2 linked regions of the Stegostoma tigrinum genome follow. The protein of the gene in region 2 interacts with the protein of the main gene of each other region in a pairwise test. Links are inferred from orthologs where the notes say so. Each region holds a gene or a part of one and is shown on either strand. Other genes may lie near its edges.

The links.
Region 1: the proteins of E3 ubiquitin-protein ligase XIAP-like (region 2) and ube2wb interact in a two-hybrid assay, tested with the Homo sapiens proteins (2 studies listed by BioGRID and IntAct). The link is inferred for Stegostoma tigrinum from reciprocal best matches to the Homo sapiens genes XIAP and UBE2W.

What each region holds. Positions count from the first base shown.
Region 1 is NC_081358.1:26,381,783-26,389,491, forward strand, and holds the start of ube2wb (probable ubiquitin-conjugating enzyme E2 W-B), read left to right. Parts: upstream 1-4,642; 5' UTR 4,643-4,672; coding exon 4,673-4,687; intron 4,688-5,747; coding exon 5,748-5,839; intron 5,840-7,709. UniProt on the Homo sapiens protein: Accepts ubiquitin from the E1 complex and catalyzes its covalent attachment to other proteins.
Region 2 is NC_081368.1:29,298,507-29,305,495, reverse strand, and holds the start of E3 ubiquitin-protein ligase XIAP-like, read right to left. Parts: upstream 3,066-6,989; 5' UTR 2,801-3,065; intron 1-2,800.

The DNA of each region.
Region 1 (7,709 bases), on a different chromosome or scaffold from region 2:
TTCAAATTTAAATAATAAATCTTAAGCTGAACAAATAAATACACTAATATATTCAACAGGACACACAGCTGACGTATGAAGAAAATATAAAGAAGGCATAAATTATTTTAAAGTTCTAATACCTCTTAATAAATACTTTAATGTGAGAACAAATGAAAATCTTGAAAGGGCAAAACTTAACTGAAGAGTTTAACATTCAGGGAGGTGGCAGATAATTTATTTCATAATCATTACAGTTTTGTGGAAAACTCTGACTAGGGAGCTTTGAAATCAGGATTCATAAGAAACAAGTCCAAAGAATCCAATTTGGACTGGAAAAGGATAGATCAGAGCACTTTCTAGATGGTACGAAGTAATACGATGGAACCAAAGAGATTAGTGGGTTCAGGTGCATAGATCTTTAAAACACCATGAACAGGTGCAGAAAATAATGAAGAAAGCCAATGGATTTCTGGCCTACAAATACAGGACTGGAATATAAGGATATAGAAATTATGATGCAATTATAGAAAGCCCTCCTTACATCCCACTTGGAGTTGTGTAAGCTAATATGGGCACCACACCTCAAGAAGGATATATTGGCATTGCAGGGAGTACAAAGTTGGTTTACAAGAATGACACCTGGCCTTCAGGGGTTAAATAATACGGTGAGATTATACAAATTTGGCCTGTTTTCTCTAGAATTTAGAAAGGGGTGATATGATCATAGTCTCCAAGATATTAACAGGAAAGGGCAGGGTAGATAATGATAAACTATTTCCACAGGTTAGAGATTCTAAAACTTGGGTATTGTCCAAGAATTAGGGCGAGACTATTGAGAAAAGATATTAAGATTTTAGCAAAGGTTGTGGGTGAGGTTGTTGACTTGTTCGCCAAGCTGACTTGATTTTGTTCAGACATTGCGTCACCATGCTAGTTAACATCATCAATGAGGCCTCAGACGAAGCAATGTTGTTCTATTTGACTTGGAATTTAGACTGTCCAGTGCATTATGATGAGTAGTGTCATGACCAGTTTTGTTCTGTATGGGTTTGTATATGGGGTCCAATTCTATATGTTTGTTGATTGCATTATGGGTTGAGAACCATATCTCTAGAAATTCCTGTGCATGTCTACATTTGGCTTGGGCTACTATGGTTACGTTGTCCCAGTTAAATTGATGGCCTTTGTTGTCCGAGTATACTGATATTAAGGAAAGTTCATCATGTTGTTTTGCTGCTAGCTGAGGTTTGTGTATTCTGATGGCTAGTTTCCTTCCTGTCTTTCCAATGTAATGTTTGTGGCAGTCATTGCATGATACGTTGTATATCACATTGGTCCTGTATGTTGTGGGAATAGGGTCTTTAATCCTTGTAAATGTTTGTCGTGAAGTGGCTGTGGGCTTGTGTGCTACCATGATTCCTAGTGGTCATAGCAGTCTCATTGTCAGTTCTGATATGTTCTTGATATAGGGCAGTGTGACCAGTGTGTTAAGGCATTATTGACAACAACAAGAGGACACAGGACAAAGACGGCACAGTGGCTCAGTAGTTTGCATTGCTGTCTTACAGCACCAGGGGCCAGGGTTCGATTCCACCCTTGGGCAACTGTCTGTGTGGAGTTTGTGCATTCTCCGAGTGTCTGTGTGGGTTTCCGCTGAGTGGTCCGGTTTCCTCCCACTGTCCAAAGATGTGCAGGCTAGGTAGATTGGCCATGCTAAATTGCCCATAGTGTTCAGTAATGTGTAGATTAGGTGGGTTATAGGGGCTGGGTCTGGGTGGGATGCTGCGATAGTCATTGTGGACTTGTTGGGCTGAAGGGCCTGTTTCCATATTGTAGGGAGTTTAAGTCATCAACTGACAATGAGACTCCTATGACCACTAGGAATTATGGTAGCACACAAGCCCACAGCCACTCCGCAACAAACACTCTCAAGGATTAAAGACCCCATTCCCACAACAGGCAGAGCAAATGCAATTTACAAAACACTATGCAACAACCACCACAAACATTACATTGGACAGACAGGAAGGAAACTGGCCATCAGAATACATGAACATCAACTAGCAGCAAAACAACACAATGAACTTTCCATATTATTAGCACACTTGGACAAGGAAGACCATCAACTTAACTGGGAAAACATAATCATAGTAGCCCAATCCAAACATAGACATGCACAGGAATTCCTAGAGACATGGTTCTCAACCCATAATGCAATCAACAAACATATAGAATTGGACCCCATGTACAAACCCATACAGAACAAAACGGGAAATGGTACTGTTTAACATAAGAGACCAGACAGTATAAATTCCAAGTGGAATAGAGCAACATTGCTTCATTGGAAGCCTCATTGATGATATTACCTAGTATGGTGAAAAAACCTCTGAACGAAAACAAGCTGGCTCAGCGTGCAAGTCAACAACCTCAAAGATATTAAGAAACACATCTTTATTCAATGGGTGGTAGATGTTTGGAAGCTTCTTCCACAAACGGTAGTGGACACTAGATCAGTTTTTCATTCTAAATCTTAGAAAGATAAATTTTTGAGTAGCAAAAGTTCAGGGAATATAGGCCAAAACAGAGTTAGTCCATTCAGCTATGATCTCATTGAAAGGCAGAACAAGCTCAAGGGACTGAATGACCTACTCCTGTTCTTAGTATTTAACTTTAGAAAAGTCATTCAAATGAATGAAACTAGAAACCAGCGGAGTGAATGAAATAGCGACTTGCCATTTGCTCCCACCTTCAATAGTGAAGTGGCATCTTAGATGATATGTTCAAATATCTGAAGTACACTTTAAACCAACCATCTTTTGACTCAGAGGAAAATATATTGCCAGACTTATTGCTGGCTTTGATAAATGAAAGAAATACAAATAAATGTCACAAAAATATTCACAATGATAAAAATGTTAAATTGAACACACTTTGGTGGCTAACTTTGTTCATCATCCAGCATCAATGTTAAATCTGCTGTATCAATTTGTCCACTGTGCTGTTTGGTGTCTGAACAACCACAGTTAAAAGATTCATCACTGAGCTCAAGTGAGTTGTATAGCTCATTTTTGTTCACAGTATTTGCTTCTTCTGGAAACCTTTGTTGATGGTTGTCTTCTGAAGGTTCTTTGATTATGAAAAGAATAGAAAACACTTCCACCACTCCTGTCAAATTGCAGACTGCCTTCTTGCTGGCAGAATGAAGCAATTCTCTTACGTCAACACAGACTCTATCAAGATTGCCTTTCTTCTTTAACATCCCTTCATGAGACTAGGAAACCCAATGAAATCTTCTGTAGGCGCCCATTTACCTGTTGGTAAACAATGGTTTGTTCACAGGCCAGTTGATCTCATGATACTTGATTTCATTTGTGGAGCTCCTTCAGTCTGCCAAGAATGTTGAGGTGAAGAATTACCTGCAAGCTCCAACAGAGAGAGGTTAATTGCGAATTACAGGGATGTTGTATTACTTGTATCATACCCTAATTTTTGAAAGATTTTCCCCTGAAGCATGTGCTTTGCCTGTAGGCAGTATTCTACAGTTTAGCAACATCTTCCAGCAGAGATCCTAAACTAAGTTGCCAGTCATCTTTTCCTTGCAGCGAGGGAGTCAGTGCAAAAGAATATAAAACACATAATCTATAATGGGCTTAAAAATCAACATGAGCAGAACAGTGCAGTCCTGATTCATACAAAATCACAGAACTAGAAAAGCATTCAGGAGCCTGAAATGTGGCAAAGCAACATGATATGATGACAACATTGCACCAGAATTCCTGTGCCTGCTGACTCAGCTCAACTAAATTCATGAATGAGTCGGGTATGGGAAAGATCATTCCACAGAACGGAAAAGATCTCAGATTGGAGATAATGGGAACTGCAGATGCTGGATAATCCGAGATAACAAAGTGTGGAGCTGGATGAACACAGCAGGCCAAGCAGCATTTTAGGAGCATAAAAGCTGACGTTTCGGGATCTCAGATTGGACAGCCAGTTATCAACCGACTTGTTTGTGTGCTTTAAGATCGAAAATATCTTTGATGTCGATTCTGTTTCTGCAGTGCGTGTCCAACTTTGCACATTCACCAACCACATGGAAAATGTCTTCCAAAGAACGTGAAGTCAGGCATAAGTGCTGCTGGACCGCACAGTTGCCCATAATACAGTGTAGCACAGCTGTCCAGAGTGTTTCCAACCTGGGTAATTTTCTTCGCAATAGACAATTTAGAGAAGTGCATGGAGAACACTGGCCAATGGGCTACTATAGGGGAGGGTGGTATGTATGTTGAAGATAGGAGTTGCATGGGTAAAGCAATAAGCGATGGGTGGAGATGGAGCCCACCTTTTCCAATCTAGCTGAGGAAAGCTCAGGGCTCTCTGGACCCAGAACATTAACTCTGCTTTCTCTCTGCCACACCTGCTGACTTTCTTCAGTAACTTCAGATTCCCAGCATCCGCAGGTCAACGTTTTATTTCGTGTTTTGACGCTCTTCCACCAACATCGCACGCCTCGGTGTCAGGCAATCACGGAGAAGTTCCCAACGGTCTCATGCCCGGGAAGCGCGCACGCCGTGACCACATTGCTTGAGAGAAACTGTGCGTGCCCGACCCCGCGTGCGTCATGACGCAATCCCGTTGAGCGGTGTCTCTGGCACGGAGGGGGGCGGGGGGAAAAGGGGGGGTTTCCATCATGGCGTCAATGCAGGTGAGTGTCTGATGTGTTCGGCGGCGCTTCAGTGGACGCCTTCTCTCTTTCCTGCTGGGGTGGCCGTGTCAGTTTCTCTCCGCATTCGAGGGAAGAGCCGGCCCTAAGACCTCCTCGGTATCTGCATCTCGTCTTTTCAGCTGGGGTTGGGGGGTTGGAGGGTCGGGGGGAGCGGATAAACGATGAAGCCGAGTGGAGCGGCCCGCGATTGTTTGTGTACGTTTTCACAAATTTGCGGGCTTCTTAAAACCGCGGCGGTGAAAAGTGCAGAGGGTTTTGGGCGCATTCCTAATGGAGTGGGATGTCGATCCCTGAGCCCTGGGTGGTGGTTGGGGTGACTTGGGCTCCATCTCTCCGCCTGCCCCTTGTTTCTTTCCATCCAGGTGATGGCAACAGCATCATCGCGCCCTGTGAAGGTTATAGGTGCCAGCGACACCTGTCGAGGCCCACCACAGGAACAGCAATGGGCTCAGGAGTCACCTCTGCCATCAGCAATCGTTATATGACTTGAGTTGGGCTTCTTCAATTTCAGAACCTTTAACTTTGCTCCTCGTTTCCACGTTCTCACCCCGATGTGTGCTTATCCTGTCGGGGATCAAGCCTGACCACTTGTTTAAATACACAGTACGTGGACTAACACCTCATCTGTGTACGCATCCTCCGTGGTAAAACTTGCATCAGTTCAGTAAATAAAGGCCGTCCATTTTTATTAATAGTTATCCACATCTTGAAAAATGTGATTGGCCGAGTTACTGCACTTTTTTTCGTGCATATATATGTAAAACTGTCAAGCTTGTATTAGCCCTGCAATTGTACTGATTAGCTGAGTTTGTGAAGGAAATAACTACAGTATTAATTTGGGAAGGTATGAAATTAGGCAAAAAATTTACACTTCAGAATTTTTACACAACTGCATTCAAATATGTCAATTTTAAAGTGAAAATCAATTGGAAGCAAACCTTCACAGAATTGGGGATAATTACAATTTGGAAAATTATACACCAGTTTACCTAATATTACAGTAACCCATTTTTTCTAACTGTTCTGTTTTCTCTAATAGAAAAGGTTACAGAAGGAGCTAATGGCTTTGCAAAATGACCCACCCCCAGGAATGACTTTAAATGAGAAGAGTGTACAAAATTCAATAACGCAGTATGTACTTTAATATTTTAATGTTAATTTTAAAATGTGAAAAGCCAGTATAAGGCAGGTAGAGTTTTTAAAATTACTGGCAGTTTTACTAGAATCAAAGATTATTTTCTAGTGTCATTGCTATTTAGTTATCAGGATATGGACAGGATTTGTGCGCTCTGTTAAACAACTTGTATTAGACAATAGACAATAGGTACTGGAGTAGGCTATTCGGCCCTTCGAGCCAGCACCACCATTCATTATGATCATGGCTGATCATCCACATGATTGCATTGTTTCTAAGAAGGTGTATTTCAGGTTACAAGATGATCGTTGGACTAATCATGTTTTGTAAATAAGTTGATGTAGTATGATTGTACAGTGTGTATATTTTAATGGAATTTGCTGGATGTATATCGTGTGGAGTAGTTTTTTTAAGGTGCATATAAATAATAGAAGTATAACAGCTCAAAAGCTAAGTTTGCAATAATAGCTTGTTTTAAGAATGTTGGCTTTGAATATATTACTGGAAATTTGAGGACACTACAAGAACTGGTGGATTGTTTCTGAATCTATTGTACTATGAGATATGACTGACACTTAAGTAGTTTTAATGTGGTGATTGTTTGTTTACTGAATTAGTTATATACTGTCAGTGTTTTTGCAGTATAATGAGCATTGTCTTATATCCTATGGTATACATTGCGTGTGTTTATCTTGACTTAGGGAGTTAACAATGTCTGACTATTAATAGCAGTAACTCTGAAATGTTTCTGTTCTTAATATTTGTACGTACCTTCATTGTTTAATTTTTCACAGTATCAAATAGTTTTGAATTGTATATATTTTCAGCGTAACAACTTATAAAGTCTCTGCATGTATGAACACACTTACTTATTTTACCTGGTTCCTCTGATGTCTGACCAGTTTCAGTTTCATACTTGCTGTATGTAATGAGTTGAATGTGTAAGTGAAATATACAGAATGATGCAATGGAATCATGTGTTTCTTTTAAAAAAAATTTGATTTGCAAGAAGATTAGTCCTGTAAATGATCGCTTGCAATATGTAGCATTGTGCAGGTTTATAGAATGTGTACTGCATTTAACTCAGTTAATTCACAACGAAAGGAATTGAATTATAATCTTGTTTATTAAGAAACTTTGTAGAAGTATGATGCATACATTTAATCTGAATGTTTAAATCTCCTCATACCTCACCCCACTTGCCCATCTCTCCTCACGCCAACCAATTGTCCATCTCTCCTCGTTTCTCCCCCCCCCCCCCCCCCCCCACTCGTCCATCTTCTGACACGTGTCGGCTCCACGCTTCCCACTGACCAACCACAATAACCCCTACTTGCATCACCACCATCAAAATCTCTCCATCCCCAACATTTTCATCTTCCTACTCACTAACTACCTGCATCCACCTATCTCCATCTCACCTAGCTTCCCTCCAGCCTTCCCCCACATTTTTTTCTGGCCTCCCTCCCCTGATGAAGGATTTCAGCCCAAAACATTGACTTTCCTGCTCCTGTAATGCTGTCTGACCTGTTATGCTTATCCAGCCTCTCACCTATAGACACCAGCTTCCAGCATCTGCAGTCCTCACTGTCTCTATGCTGATTATCCCCAATGAAACCTTGCCTCTTTAAATCGAGATTTATTTTCTGCAGTAGTTTTTCTACTGGCTTATAGTTCCCTAGTTTATCTCTACCACCCTTATAAAGTGGAACCAATTTGTCCTCATACCCAAAGTATGTCCTGTTGTCCTCCAGGACCTTCCCTGTGGCCGGAGACAATTTTAAAAATTTGGTTCAGGGCCCCTGTAATTTTTTTACCTTGTCTTCCACAGTGGCTGACGGTACAACTCATCTGGACCTGCGGATT
Region 2 (6,989 bases):
TTCCCTAAAGGTCACCTTCGATTGTTTTACTACATTAGAGACACTTTGCAAATGCAAAAGCAAAATACTGAAAATCTTGAAAATAATATGCTGGAAATCTTTTAATTCCACTCCCGCACATCCCAGATGTCCAAGTTCTTCAAGGACCGCAACTTTCCCCCCACAGTGATCGAGAACGCCCTTGACTGCGTCTCCCGTATTTCCAGCAAAACATCCCTCACACCCCGCCACCGCCACAACCGCCCTAAGAGGATCCCCCTCATTCTCACACACCACCCCACCAACCTCCAGATACAACGCATCATCCTCCGACACTTCCGCCATCTACAATCCGACCCCACCACCCAAGACATTTTTCCATTCCCACCCCTGTCTGCTTTCCGGAGAGACCACTCTCTCTGTGACTCCCTTGTTTGCTCCACACTACCCTCCAACCCCACCACACCCGGCACCTTCCCCTGCAACCGCAGGAAATGCTACACTTGCCCCCACACCTCCTCCCTCACCCCTATCCCAGGCCCCAAGATGACATTCCACATTAAGCAGAGGTTCACCTGCACATCTGCCAATGTGGTATACTGCATCCACTGTACTCGGTGTGGCTTCCTCTACATTGGGGAAACCAAGCGGAGGCTTGGGGACCGCTTTGCGGAACACCTCCGCTCAGTTCGCAACACACAACTGCAACTCCCCGTAGCAAACCATTTCAACTCCCCCTCCCATTCTTTAGATGACATGTCCATCATGGGCCTCCTGCAGTGCCACAATGATGCCACCCGAAGGTTGCAGGAACAGCAACTCATATTCCGCCTGGGAACCCCTGCAGCCTAATGGTATCAATGTGGACTTCACCAGTTTCAAAATCTCCCCTTGCCCCACCGCATCCCTAAACCAGCCCAGTTCGTCCCCTCCCCCCACTGCACCACACAACCAGCCCAGCTCTTCCCCTCCACCCACTGCATCCCAAAACCAGTCCAACCTGTCTCTGCCTCCCTAACCTGTTCTTCCTTTCACCCATCCCTTCCTCCCACCCCAAGCCGCACCCCCATCTACCTACTAACCTCATCCCACCTCCTTGACCTGTCCGTCTTCCCTGGACTGACCTATCCCCTCCCTACATCTCCACCTATACTCTCTCCACGTATCTTCTTTACTCTCCATCTTCGGTCCGCCTCCCCCCCTCCCTATTTATTCCAGAACCCTCACCCCATCCCCCTCTCTGATGAAGGGTCTAGGCCCGAAACGTCAGCTTTTGTGCTCCTGAGATGCTGCTTGGCCTGCTGTGTTCATCCAGCCTCACATTTTATTATGCTACATATACACATATATTTATATAATAGATCAGTGAAACATTAGAACCTTGGTGACCAGGTAGACAACTTTAAATTGCTATAGTAAATTAGTGTACACATAATGGACATCACGGGTATTGCATTGGAGTTACGGAATATTTACGCAAACAAGTCAAGTTGCACTTCTGTCTGAAACAGTTAGGCTGCATTTTGCGATGTGAGTTTTAATGACTCCCCTGTAGGAAAGGAATAAAAACAGTGAAAAAGGTGGATACATCCACTTCTTCTTTTGTTACAAAAGGTCAGCAGAAACTGTTGTCTAGAGAGAGATAGTTAAGATGGTTGGGTTTATCTTTTTGTTTCAGAAGATCCAATTTAAGACTGATAAGAAAACTCCTCTTGGCTGTCGGGTTTTGTTTAGCCACTATAAAAAGCAGAATTTCTACCACAATCTAATTTTACTTCAGTCAGAAAGCAGGCATGCAGGTTTTAAGTATTTTGCTTTTGGAGTATAATAAATTAAAAGTAGAGATGATTCAAGTGCTTGCAAGTATTCCACGGTGACTCTTGCTGATATTGTATTCTCCGGTCAGGCATTGACTTGCATGGTTACCTGAGCTGCATTAGAAGAATGCCATCTTCTGGTCACAGCTTTGTAGAATACAGAATAGAATTGAATATCCTTTTATTGTCAAGCGTCTTGGAAGTACAAGAGTACACAGAAGTTTTTACAATGGCTGCCACTAAAGGCGCCATCCTCGGTACAAGCACTGAGGTAAAAATTTCATACGGAACAAGAATAAAAGGAATAGTTGTAGCATTACATACAGTGTCTGACAAAATAGGTTAGGAATCAGATCATTATAACATAGTTAAAGAACTCACATTACAGTCAGGTAAAAAAAATTCAAATAGCAGTAACTCAGCATTGTGGTCTGACTGTATGTGCTAAGCGCCTGTCCAATAATTATCCCGCTCTGCTCCAAGTTTCCAGTCCTCTCTGCACCGGCACACAACTGCGCCAAGATAAATTGTGCTGTGCCAGGACTCGTTCCCCTCACGCTGCACCAAGACTTGTTCCCCTCATGTCGCACCAAGACCCGTTGCCCTCACGTTGCACCAGGACCCATTCACCTCACGCTACACCAGGACCCATTCCCCTCACGCTGGACCGGAATCGTTCCCCCCGTCTTGTATCAGGACCCATTCCCCTTGCGCTGTACCAGAACTCGTTCATCTCCTGCTGTACCAGGACTTCTTCATCTTCCGCTGTACCAGGACTTGTTCTCCTCATGTCGCACCAAGACCCATTCCCCTCATGCTGCACCAGGACTTGTTCCCCTCACGCTGCACCAGGACCCATTCCCCTCACGCTGCACCAAGACTTGTTCCCCTCATGTCGCACCAAGACCCGTTGCCCTCACGTTGCACCAGGACCCATTCCCCTCACGCTGGACCGGAATCGTTCCCCCCGTCTTGTATCAGGACCCATTCCCCTTGCGCTGTACCGGAACTCGTTCATCTCCTGCTGTACCAGGACTTCTTCATCTTCCGCTGTACCAGGACTTGGTCATCTCCTGCTGTACCAGGACTTGTTCCTCTCATGTCGCACCAAGACCGGCTCCCCTCGCGCTGTACCAGGACTCGTTCATCTCCCGTCGTGCCAGGATTTGTTAATCTCCCGCTGTACCAGGACTCATTAATCTCCCGCTGTACCGGGACTTGATCCCCTCGCGCTCCACTGGGACCCATTCCCCTAGCGCTGCAACAGGACTCATTCCCCTCATGCTGCACGAGGACCCGTTCTCCTCGTGCTGCACCGGGATTCATTCCCCTTGCAGTGCAGTAGGAATTGTTTCTCTGAAAGCTGCTCCAAGGATTCCAGAGCTCAGAAGCCATCAATTTTGACTAGGTTATTTAAAATTATTTAAACTGGGCACGCTAGGTTGGGTGGCAATACTGCCTATCAGATGGATCTGACGACTGAGTAATGGTCACAGAAGGAAGCATGCTTGTGCAGGAATTGAGGACAAAAAGGGGAAAAGATGGGGAACATGAAAGAATATAAATCTGAATTGTTTTTGTTAGACAGAAGAAGGTTAAGAGGTGACTTAATAGAGACATACAAGATGATCAGAGGATTAGATAGGGTGGACAGTGAGAGCCTTTTTCCTCGGATGGTGATGGTTAGCATGAGGGGACATAACTTTAAATTGAGGCGTGATAGATATAGGACAGAAGTCAGAGGTAGGTTCTTTACTTAGAGTAGTAAGGGCAACAGTAGTAGACTCACCAATTTTGAGGGCATTTAAATGGTCAGTGGATGAACATATGGATGATAATGGAATAGTGTAGGTTAGCTGGGCTTCAGTTTGGTTTCACCTGCGATAGATGCAACATCGAGGGCCAAAGGGCCTATACTACGCTGCGATATTCTATGTTCTATGTTTTCAACCAATATGCCATGAGGACCTGTATAAATTGAGCATAAAATTTTGATTTTCATTACCGATGTACATTATTAAACAATGTTTCATCTCAAACAATATTCTTAATCAAAATTACATCTCAAAACTCATTAAAATTAATCAACGAATTAAAAGTGCAGGATCAGGATTTTTATTCTAAAATGTGAATATTCTGAATGCATACGGCTCAAGGGAAAAATTGAGATGACATAAAAAAGTGGGTGCGCATGGAACTGTTTGCCTCACTTTTAGAGTGCCATGTTACTCAATAGGTTGCAAACTACTGCAGTAGAGAATGACAATATAACAAGTATTCTTGAAATGTGACTACTTCAGAACATGGAGCTAAATTCAGTAGTATAATCTTTTCAAAAGGGATCGAAACAAGGAGAATTTTCGAGCAAGCTTGGCCTGCTGCAACAGTAGAGAATGATCTCTCTTTGATCTTCATTACCAACTTATATCCTTACTTACATAAATCCTTCTATGTGGATTTTAGTTTATTCCTTTAAGTAAGTATAACCATTGCTGAAAATTATTGAATAAACGAACCATTTATCTTGTTGAAAGCAAAACTCTGTGCTGCCAGTTATTTTCACATTGAAACACTTCGTAATAAAAAGGGGGAGTTGAAATGAACTCCATTTCACCAATTTATACTTTACATGTGGGGAGGTAATTGACACTGCCTCCATAAACCCTAACTTGGACCTTTCCTAACTGATATTCCTGCTACTAGAATTACTACACTTTAATCTGATTTTTAACCCTACACTGTGGAAGGCCATTCACTGTATCATATATGCATTATCCAATTAATATCATTCAATTTATTTTCTCATTAGCCCACTGTTTACCTTTCATTTGGCTGCTACATACAATAACAACAGACAATAAGAAATAGGAATAGGAGTAAGACTATTCAGCGCTTGAGCCAGCTCCACCATTCGGTAGGATCATGGCTGATCCAACCCCATTCCTCACATCCACTTTCCTGCACTTTCCCTACAGCCTAGATGCCCCTTCTGATCAAGAATTGATCAATCTCAACGTTAAATATATACATGGACTCTGTTCCCACAGCTCTTTGTGGCAAGGAATTCCAAAGAATCAGGACCATCTTGAGAGAATAAATTCCTCCTAATCTCAGTCTTAAATTGGCACCCCTTCATTCTGAGACTATGCTGTCTGGTCCTAGACTCTCTCACAAGGGCATACATCCTCTCAGCATTTACCTTGTCAAGACCCTGAAGAATCCTGTGTGTTTCAATCAGATCGTCTTTCATTCTGATAAACTCCAGTGAGCAGAGTCCCAACCTGTTTTGCCTTTGCTCATAAGGCAATTCCACCTTACCAGGGATCATCTTAGTTGGCTTCCTCTGAACCGCCTTCAATGAAACAATATATTTCCATAAATAAGGTTACTAAAACTGGTCACAGTACTCCAGATGTGGTCTCACCAGCATCTTGCACAGTTGCAATACGACTTATCTTTTTATGCTCCAACCTCATTGAAATAAGGGCCAACATTCCATCAGCCTTCCTGATTGTCTGCTGAAGCTGTTTGCTCGCTTTTTGTGTTTCATGGATATACCTCCTTTGTGTTATTGCTTTCTGCATATTTTGCCATTTAAACAATACTTACTTATTTTGTTCTCCCTTCCATAATGAACATTTTCACGCTTTCACATATTATACTCCATTTGCTAATTTTTTGCCGACTCACCTGACCAATCAATATCACTTTGTAAACTGTTTGTATCCCTCTCACAATGTAACTTTCCACCTATTTTTATGTCAACTGCAAATTTGGCCATTGTACAGTCACTGCCTTCCTCCAATTCGTTAATTTATATTGTAAATAGTTGCAGTCCCAGCACTGATTCCTGTGGAACCCCACCGATCACATGTCACCAACCTGGAATAGAATCCCCTCTCCCGACTCGATGTTTCCTGTCATGAGCCAATTCTCTATCCAAGTCAATGCACTACCTCCAAATCTGTGGGTGTTTACATTATGTCTTAACCTTTTGAGCTGTACCTAGTCAAACACCTTCTGGAAGTCCAAATACAGCACATTTGACCATAGGATATAGGAGTGGAAGTAAGGCTATTTGGCCCATCGAGTCTACTCCACCATTTAAATCATGGCTGATAGGCATTTCAACTCTACTTCCCTGCACTCTCTCCGTAACCCTTGATTCCTTGTGAGATCAAGATTTTATCGATCTCTGCCTTGAAGGCATTTAACGTCCCGGCCTCCACTGCACTCCGTGGCAATGAATTCCACATACCCACCACTCTCTGGCTGAAGAAATGTCACCTCATTTCCATTTTTAATTTACCCCCTCTAATTCTAAGGCTGTGCCCACAGGGCCTTGTCTCCCCGCCTACGGGAAACAACTTCCCAGCATCCACTCTTTCTAAGCCATAAATAATCTTGTAAGTTTCTATTAGATCTCCCCTCAACCTTCTAAACTCTAATGAATACAATCCCAGGATCCTCAGCCATTCATCATACGTTAAACCTATCATTCCAGGGATCATCCGTGTGAATCTCCGCTGGACATGCTCCAGGGCCAGTATGTCCTTCCTGAGGTGTGGGGCCCAAAATTGGACACAGTATTCTAAATGGGGCCTAACTAGAGCTTTATAAAGTCTCAGAAGCACACCACTGCTTTTATATTCCAACCCTCTTGAGATAAACGACAATATTACATTCGCTTTCTTAATCACAGACTCTATCTGCAAGCTAACCTTTAGAGAATCCTGGACCAAAACTCTCAGATCCCTTTGTATTTCTGCTTTACGAATTTTCTCACCATTTAGAAAATAGTCTGTGCCTGTATTCTTTTTTCCAAAGTTCAAAACCTTGCATTTGCTCATGTTGAATTTCATCAGCCATTTCCTGGACCACTCTCCTAAACTGTCTAAATCTTTCTGCAGCCTCCCCACCTCCTCAGTACCACCTATCTTCGTATCATTGGCAAACTTCGCCAGAATGCCCCCAGTCCCTTCATCCAGATCATTAATATATAACGTGAACAAGTGAGGCCCCAACACTGAACCCTCGTCACCAGTTGCCATTCCGAAAAAGAGCCTTTTATCCCAGCTCTCTGCCTTCTGTCAGACAGCCAATCCTCAATCCAAGCCAGTAGCTCACCTCGAACACCATGGGCCCTCACCTTGCTCAGCAGCCTCCCGTGAGGCACCTTATCAAAGGCCTTTT